2 linked regions of the Macaca fascicularis genome follow. The protein of the gene in region 1 interacts with the protein of each later gene in a biochemical or structural test. Links are inferred from orthologs where the notes say so. Each region holds a gene or a part of one and is shown on either strand. Other genes may lie near its edges.

Region 1 (4,059 bases):
TACCCTTTGTTCCATCTCCTTCATCTTTCTGATCCAAAATTTAGTAGCCTACTACATTTCACCCACCATCCTTCTTTCCTCCAGCTATGGTAGAGAACTGCTCCTCCAACTTTATGTACATTTGAATCACCTGGGAGTTCTTGTGAACTTCTGGGTCTGATTTAATATGGACACCCAAAGAGTCTGCATTTCTTATAACTCTCATAAGAAGCTGTGGAGTACTCTGAACAGCAAAGTACTGGAAGTGCTGTTTCTGTTAGTATCTAAACTATTAGTCCTAATCTCCCATTTATGCTTTGGCACTCATTCCCTCCTGCTTTCGCTATCTTAATATATATCACTCCTTAACTGTTCCCTCAGGTTCCCTACATAGTTTATCTCCACCCCTCTAAGCTGCTCAGTATCACCCATTAAAGAACTAAACCAAAACAAAACTAGAAAACCCTCATTTAACCCTTCACTCCCCCTACATACCATCTGATGTGTCTCTCATCCACAGTTAAACTTGGAAGAATTGTCTGCTTGAGGATGCCATTTCATCATCTCCAGCAATCCTGTACCCACTTCAATGTTATTTGCAGGCCCATTACCCCACCAACACAGCATTCACGAAAATTATCAATGACTACACACTGAGAAGACAAGAATGACATTTTCAGTTCTCCTCTAATTTGAATTTCTCAACAGCATTCAATACTGTTAACTACTCCCAATATTTTTCCACATTGTCCTCCATGACACAACACATAATAGTCCCTTATTATCTATTTTCCTGTCTATTGTAAAGACTTCCCCCCACCCCAAAAAAGGTCAAGAAAACCCCTAGCCTTCAAGTCTCAACTGAAATCTGGCCTTCTGAAGCCTCCCCAACTAGGAAAATATATAGTCCCATTGGTTGTCTACCAGTTAATTGTAATTCTTAGCCACAAGTCAGCTGAACCACCGTCTCTCAAACAGGCGAAGTTAAGCTCTATATTTGGCATATCTTGATATACTTTGTATAGTCTAGCTACAATGAGTTTGCCTATGCACGAAGATGGCTACCGGCGGGGGGGCGTCGTTACGTCCTACGTCATCACGTGCCGGGATGAGGGTGGGGCCCTCAAGGAAGATGGAATGGAATCCAGATGGGCGGGGGCAAGCAGGACGGGGCGGGGCTACGCTGGATCTGGGCGGGGCGGGGCCGGTGAGGGGTCGGGGGTGCTTGTGCTATTCAGCCGGTGCGCGCGGCGGCGGGAGGCAGCGGCTGGGGAGTCCCCTCGACGCTCTGTTCCGAGAGCGTGCCCCGGACCGCCAGCTCAGACCAGGGGCAGCCGTGTAGCCGAACGTAAGCTAGGAGCAGCCGGGACTGGTGGCTGGCCCCCGAGCTCCGCAGGCGGGAAGCACCCAGGATTTGGGAAGTCCCGGGAGCAACGCGGCGGCGCCTCCCTCACCCAAGGGGCCGCGGCTACGGTCACGGAGCGCGGCGGCACCGTGAGCGACCCAGGCCAGGATTCTAAATAGACGGCCCAGGTTCCTCCTCTGCCCGGGCCGCCTCACCTGCGGGCATTGCCGCGCCGCCTCCGCCGGTGTAGACGGCACCTGCGCCGCCTCGCTCGCGGGTCTCCGCCCCTTGCCCCCCCTTTCGGCGCCAGGCCCGGGCAGCTCACCTGGACTGGCGCGGGCTGCGGGAGCCTGCGGTAGCCGAGGCGCGGAGGCGCAGCGCCCACGCCACTGTCTGGAGAGGACGCAGGTGGAGCGGGCGCGGCTTCGCGGAACCCGGCGCCTGCCGCCGCCGTCGTCCCGGCAGACACCAGGTCCCGGGGACCCGGCCGCCAGTGCCCGGGGAGTAGCCGCCGCCGTCGGCTGGGCACCATGAACAGCAGCAGCGCCAACATCACCTACGCCAGTCGCAAGCGGCGGAAGCCGGTGCAGAAAACGTGAGTGTCCCGAGCGCGTCCTCATCGCGGGGGCTGGGCGCACAGGCACGCGGGTGCGGGAGGCAGCCCCACCCCGCCCCCAAATCCCTGCGATCCTGGGGATTAGGTTCATTCCCGGCACTGCCCGTGGAATCGAGGTTTGGAGGCCGGTCGGGAGACCGAGGACTTGAATTCTCGCGTTTTCAATGATTGCATTTTAAAAATTGTCCTTCCACCCATCCTCTTCTCCCGCACCGGTGCATACACACCCTCTCACATTTGTAACTTTGTTCTCTCTGATTTGGTCCTGATTTGTTGACAGCTCTGATCTGCCTTGGGCTAATGGATTAGTTAGTATAAACCTGTCTTGAAATCTCCTTCCACTTTTAATATCCGCATGCGTTAGGTTAGAGGACAGTCTTAATTCTCATTCTTGGTAGAGTTTGGTAGGGCGAGATGTTTTAAAGAGCTAAACACGTGCTGACTTTTACGAAGGGGCTGAGTGCCTCTAAAGGTACTTTTTGGTCCCCACCTACTGGCTTTCTGTTGCGCTCTTACTTACTTATTTGGCAGCAGTTTTGTAGCGCTCATCGTGACCATATCGGTAAAGTGGATAGACGTGGTAGCAGGTGGGAGTGGATGCAACGGACAGGATACGGTGGAGGATTTGTATTCTTCAGACATCTTTTTCGGAAGCTTGCTTATCACTTTTGGGGTGGCTTTAGAGTCTGTAACATAAAAGATTTAGAACTGCATTTGAGAGTGGTTTTCATTCTTAACATTTACCTCTAATTATTTTCCCCTTCCAAGTTTTGTTCTAATTGAGTGAGTACAAACTTGCTTTTGTCGTTGTCAGTTGATTTTGGTGGAATATTTGTGTGAGATGGCAAATACTTTATTTTCTTGTGTGTCAGAAAAAAGTATCCGTGCTGGAAACTTTTCCTGTTGTGTGGTGGTTGTATTCATGTGTTTGTTCCAATTTTTTTATTTCTAGTTTTATCTCTGAGTTACTTTACCTGCATGTTTTTCAAGTTTTCGTAAACAATTTTAAGAACTCTTAAACGTCTTCTCAGACCAAATCAGAAGTGTGCATTTTGCTTAGACTCCAACTGTCACTAATGGGAACCAGAAAAATAACACTTTAAGATTTACATTTAAAACCAGTTATTGGTTTAAAGTTTCATTCTAAAATTTTAGTTTCCTTTCAGAATTTCAGTTATCATAGTTCTTCAGAACTAGACTTGTGAATTGGCATTAACAGAGGATAATAATCTGTAAATAGACTGATTAAAATATGGAAGTTTTATGGTAGAGTGTGTTTTAAGGGAATGTTGTCAAACCAGCAGTTTTCTACCTTGGCAGTTTGAGACATCGGTTTATAATACTTTTAATTTTGTAGAATGATTTCTTATATTAAAGTATGTTTGTCTTATTTGACATTGTCCTTCATGGTTAAAGTTGGGAGGCATCACAAATGTCTGTTCTATGTGTTTATTAATGCAATAATATACTTAGCATCATATATAATAGGGACGTCATAGGTTTTATGTGTATAGTGAGAAAACAGGAAGCTTTCCCTGATGTGTTTTTAAGATACTGGGTTTCAGTTAGGGTGTTATAAAAGGACCTGGGTGGCTTTGTAAACAAAAACAAATGCCATAATTTTGTATTCATTATACAGTTTAACGTTTATGGATTTTAGTTACTTTGCGTAAAATGTACTTTTTATTAGATTATCCTAATATACTTTCTTAGTCTTTAATATGCTTGTATTAATTTCTTACAATATAACAAAAGTATTTTTCCCATTCACCCACATTTTATTTTGTTAGCATAGATGTTTATCAGATCTCTACCGAGCACCATATATTGCTTCTAATCATACAAATGCCTTAAATATCACCAGCTTCCTCTGTAAGAAAAGGCTAGTGCTGGTATTTTCTTTATCAAGTGAAAGTGTTTATATAAATTATTTTTACCTGAATGAAAAATTGTTAACTTTATAATGCAGTAAATCAAAGTTTATTTTAGAAATGAAGTCATTAAACTTGATATTAAATTTGAGTTTTAAAATTAAACTACTAGTCTGTGACCTAATGAGCCCTAAAACCTGCCAACATTGGGGAAAATAGATCTTGTTTTGAGCTGAAAATGCTATCCA
Region 2 (4,034 bases), on another chromosome or scaffold:
ACTCCTCATTGGCCGGGTGTGGTGGCTCACGCCTGTAATCCCAGCACTTTGGGAGGCTGAGGTGGACGGATTGCCTGAGGTCAGGAGTTCGAGACCAGTCTGGCCAACATCGTGAAACCCCATCTCTACTAAAAACACACAAAAAATTAGCCGGGCGTGTGGCATGCGCCTGTAATCCCAGCTACTCAGGAGGCTGAGGCAGAGGAATTGCTTGAACCAGGGAGGTGGAGGTTGCAGTGAGCCGAGATTGCGCCACTGCACTCCAGCCTGGATGACTGAGGGAGACTTCGTCTCAAATACAAACAAACAAAACTCCTCATTATGTACCTATCACTGACCAAAGGAAGTTACCCATTCTCAAAATACTTTCTTCATCCACTGCCTCCAGTTCTGGCTGGCAATATCTCCCATACCAAACCGTTAACACCCAGATCCTTTTACACTACCAGTCCCATAGCAGGCATTAAAAAGTTAGTTATTTAACTTTTTTCACCAGGGACAAAAGTCCTTAAAACAGGAAAAAAACTGGAAAGGATTACAAATCACCATGTGAAGTTTAAGTATTAGAGCACCTAAAGAGGATTTACAAGATAAGTTGTCTGCAGGGCAACCACTCAGACGACGAATCCACCACCAAGAGAAGGTTTTTAGTCAAATATCCTTTTTTTAGTAAAATATCCTTTTTTTTTTTTTTGAGATGGAGTTTTGCTCTCGGTGGCCCAGACGAGTACAGTGGTGTGGCGCGATCTCGGTTCACTGCAACCTCTGCCTCCCAGGTTCAAGCGATTCTCCTGCCTCAGCCTCCCAAGAAGCTGGGATTACAGGCATGTGCCACCACGCCCAGCTAATTTTGTATTTTTAGTAGAGACGGGGTTTTCGCCATGTTGGCCATGGCTGGTTTCGAACCCCTGACCACAGGTGATCCGCCGGCCTGGGCCTCCCAAAGTGCTGGGATTACAGGCGCGAGCCACCGCGCCCTGCCTAAAATACCCATTTTAATTGCATTTCAATGACGTTACTCGGTCATTGACCTCTTACGCAAGGAGGGCGGGGTTAGGGAGACAGCTGGACTTCTTCCTCGCCCTCCCTCCACTGGACTGGCTGGCGCAGGGAGTAGCCCTGCCCTTGGTCGATTTGGCATCTTCATTGGTCAATTTTTTCCTAGGAGGCGGTCGTGTGTTGATTCCGCCCGCTATATAGGCGGGGTCTCTCCGCCACAGGGGCTGGGATGGTGGGGGCTGCTGAAGCCGCCATCTTGGATTCCGCGGTAGCGGAGGCGCCGCTTCTGGGGAGTGGCCTTTCTCTTCCCCTCCCTCCCGGTTCGGTGGCGGCGGCTCCTCCCACTGGGGGGGGGTGGCGCGGCGGCGGTGGCATCTACGGCCATGGCGGCGACTACTGCCAACCCCGGTGAGGAGACGGAGGACTGGGGCGCCTCTAAAGGGGAGGGGCTGAAGGGGCTGACAACTAAGGAGACCCAGGGCTGAGGGGACGCAGCTGGAGCTGAAGGCGCCGGGGCGGGGCGGAGGCCGCGAGGGACGGTGGGGGAGCGGTGACCTGGGGAGGGGCGCGATCCTGGGGACTTGGGTAGACTCAAGGTGGAGGGAGCGAGGGGGCAGGTGGGAGTTGGGGGCTCCCTCTCCTGACCTCCGTTGGAGCGGCGGCCAGTGGGGGCTGGCTCGCCCTCACTCCTCGGGCGGCGTCTGGTCTGTGATGTGGTCCTCTTTTAACCCTCTGCCCGCTGGAGCCGCTTGATGCCGAATACTGTAGGCAGAGTGGCTCCGTTTACTTTAAGAGTAGTTTGGATTCATAAACCCTGGAACATATTGCTCTTTAGTTGACGTGTTGCTTCCAAACATTTAAAGGTTTAGATTTTAATTTTAAAAATAAAAAATTGACGTTCTTTGATATATACGACATCTCTTTAGGCTGTTACCTCCCACCCGCAACCCCCGTCCCCGTCCCCGGACTATACTTTGAAACTTAGATCTTGTGTTAAGAGGGCCTGTCTGCCTGCTGAGGGCAGGGGTTTGTGTAATGGTTGTGGTTTCGGACAGGTCTTTAGTCCACAGCCCCAGGTTTAAATCTTGTTAGGCCTAGGTCCAGCCAGTTTCCAAACTCTTTCAGAAAAGTTTGATTCCACACCATTTCTCAGTTTCAAAAAATAATCAAATATCAAAAAGATCTAGTCTGTTTTGTCTAAGAGATGGAATAGGGTGTAGTGCAGTTCTAGAGAGATCAGATCTTCAAATTACTAGTCCCACCCTGCCCTCTTTCCTCTATGTTACAGTTATTTCTCCTTAGAAGGTATTTCATTTTAGGGGCCTAGTTTATCTTGCAGACTTTGGTCATTCTTGCAAAATAAAGTCTATCCGTTTCCAAAAACCAATATATTTGATAGCTTTAAAAAGAAAGGGCCTTGAGGTGTGTGTGTGTGTTGCGGAGAATTTCTTGAAAATACAACAGTGGGAGTGATTACCCCCATCCCCACATTGAAATTTAAATTAGATTTTTTTTTCATGTTACTGAAAGGCAGTATTATTTTGCAATATCCAGATTTTGCTGGACAGTTGAATCACTGAAATTTCTTTTCTACCATGTTTCTGGGAACAGCTATTTTAAGAAATGATTAATTTGTCACATGTCATTATCTGTATTTAATTTTTAAAAATTTTTTTTAAAGGAAAGAGAGGTAAAATTAATGGCAAAAATTACATTGCGGGAAGTGCTGAGTGATAGAATAAAACTATAAAACAGGAAAAATGCCATTATGGCAAACCTGACCTTGTAGTAATATAACCTATCTGAACTATGGAATAAATAAACAAGATTTTTAACTGATCACACATTGCAAAATACTTATATAACCCTAGTTAAATTGCAAAGCATTTCTCTTATTAAGAAGTCGCCTGAGTAAACAAGTTTTAGTTCATATGTCAGGAGCTTTTTTCCAGCTGTGTGGGTGGGGTTGCTTTATTTTGTTTTGTTTTTTAAACAGCAGCAACCAGAATGACAGCCTCTTGACCATATCTTCATAAGCTGATCAATATCAGCTTAAATCTCAGCAGAAAATAGCATGTGTTTGTGTGTATGTGTGTATGCAGAATCCTTGTTAATGAAACGCTTTGTTTACTATGCTTTGGCTGCTTGGTTCTGCAATTTTTAGATTTCCTTTTTCTTTTTCTTTTCCTTTCTCCTCTCCCCTCTCCCCTCTTTTTCTTTTGATGCAGGGTCTTGCTTCTTGCTCTGTCGCCCGGTCTGGAGTACAGTGGCAAGATCACTGCTCACGGCATCTTCCACCTCCGGGGCTCAAGTGATCTTCTCACGATCAGCCTCCTGAATAGCTGGGACTACAGGTGCCTTGCCACCATGCCTGGTTAATTTTTAAATTTTTTTGTGGAGACAGATGCCTTGCTATGTTGCTCACGCTGATCTTGATCTCCTGGTCTCAAGCAAGCCTTGCCTCAGTCTCTCAAAGTTGGGAATACAGGTGTGAGACACTCTACCTGGCCAGATATCTTTTTTGATATTAAAAAATTCTTCCATCTCTTCTAACTTATCGATTCCATGTTCAGTTCAATCAAATCAGAAGATATGTTTTCTTTTTTCTTTTCTCCCTTTGCACTTTTATATCAAGAGGAAGAGAGCATAGATACATTGTGGATTTTTTCAGTAGTCTATTGCATTTTGGGAAATGAGATTAATGAATGGAGGGACATTAGGTGGAAATGTACTGTGCTTAGTGAAAGTAAATGTTTTCAGGTCAGAATTCTTTGCTATACTGTCATACCTTCTTTCCTTAGAGCCATTTTAAGGACTAGGGACACCATGCCTATTTCTTTGAGTTTTTTCTACTTTGTATTTTTGCTGGAGTACTAATTTTTTTTTTTTTTTTTTTTAACAATTCTTGTTAGTTTTGTCAAGACGATTTAAAAAAAAATTTCACTCTTTAAGCTTCACTTGAGTTAATCCTTTTTAAAAATATATTTATTTTTATTTTTGAGACAGGGTCTCGCTCTGTCTCCCAGACTGTAGTG

What was found. The genes of interacting proteins can lie anywhere in the genome.
Region 2: the proteins of AHR (region 1) and ARNT form a complex in vitro, tested with the Homo sapiens proteins (14 studies listed by BioGRID, with this or other methods). The link is inferred for Macaca fascicularis from reciprocal best matches to the Homo sapiens genes AHR and ARNT.

What each region holds. Positions count from the first base shown.
Region 1 is NC_088377.1:112,900,945-112,905,003, reverse strand, and holds the start of AHR (aryl hydrocarbon receptor), read left to right. Parts: upstream 1-1,215; 5' UTR 1,216-1,854; coding exon 1,855-1,919; intron 1,920-4,059. UniProt on the Homo sapiens protein: Ligand-activated transcription factor that enables cells to adapt to changing conditions by sensing compounds from the environment, diet, microbiome and cellular metabolism, and which plays important roles in development, immunity and cancer.
Region 2 is NC_088375.1:110,366,606-110,370,639, forward strand, and holds the start of ARNT (aryl hydrocarbon receptor nuclear translocator), read left to right. Parts: upstream 1-1,225; 5' UTR 1,226-1,382; coding exon 1,383-1,407; intron 1,408-4,034. UniProt on the Homo sapiens protein: Required for activity of the AHR. Upon ligand binding, AHR translocates into the nucleus, where it heterodimerizes with ARNT and induces transcription by binding to xenobiotic response elements (XRE).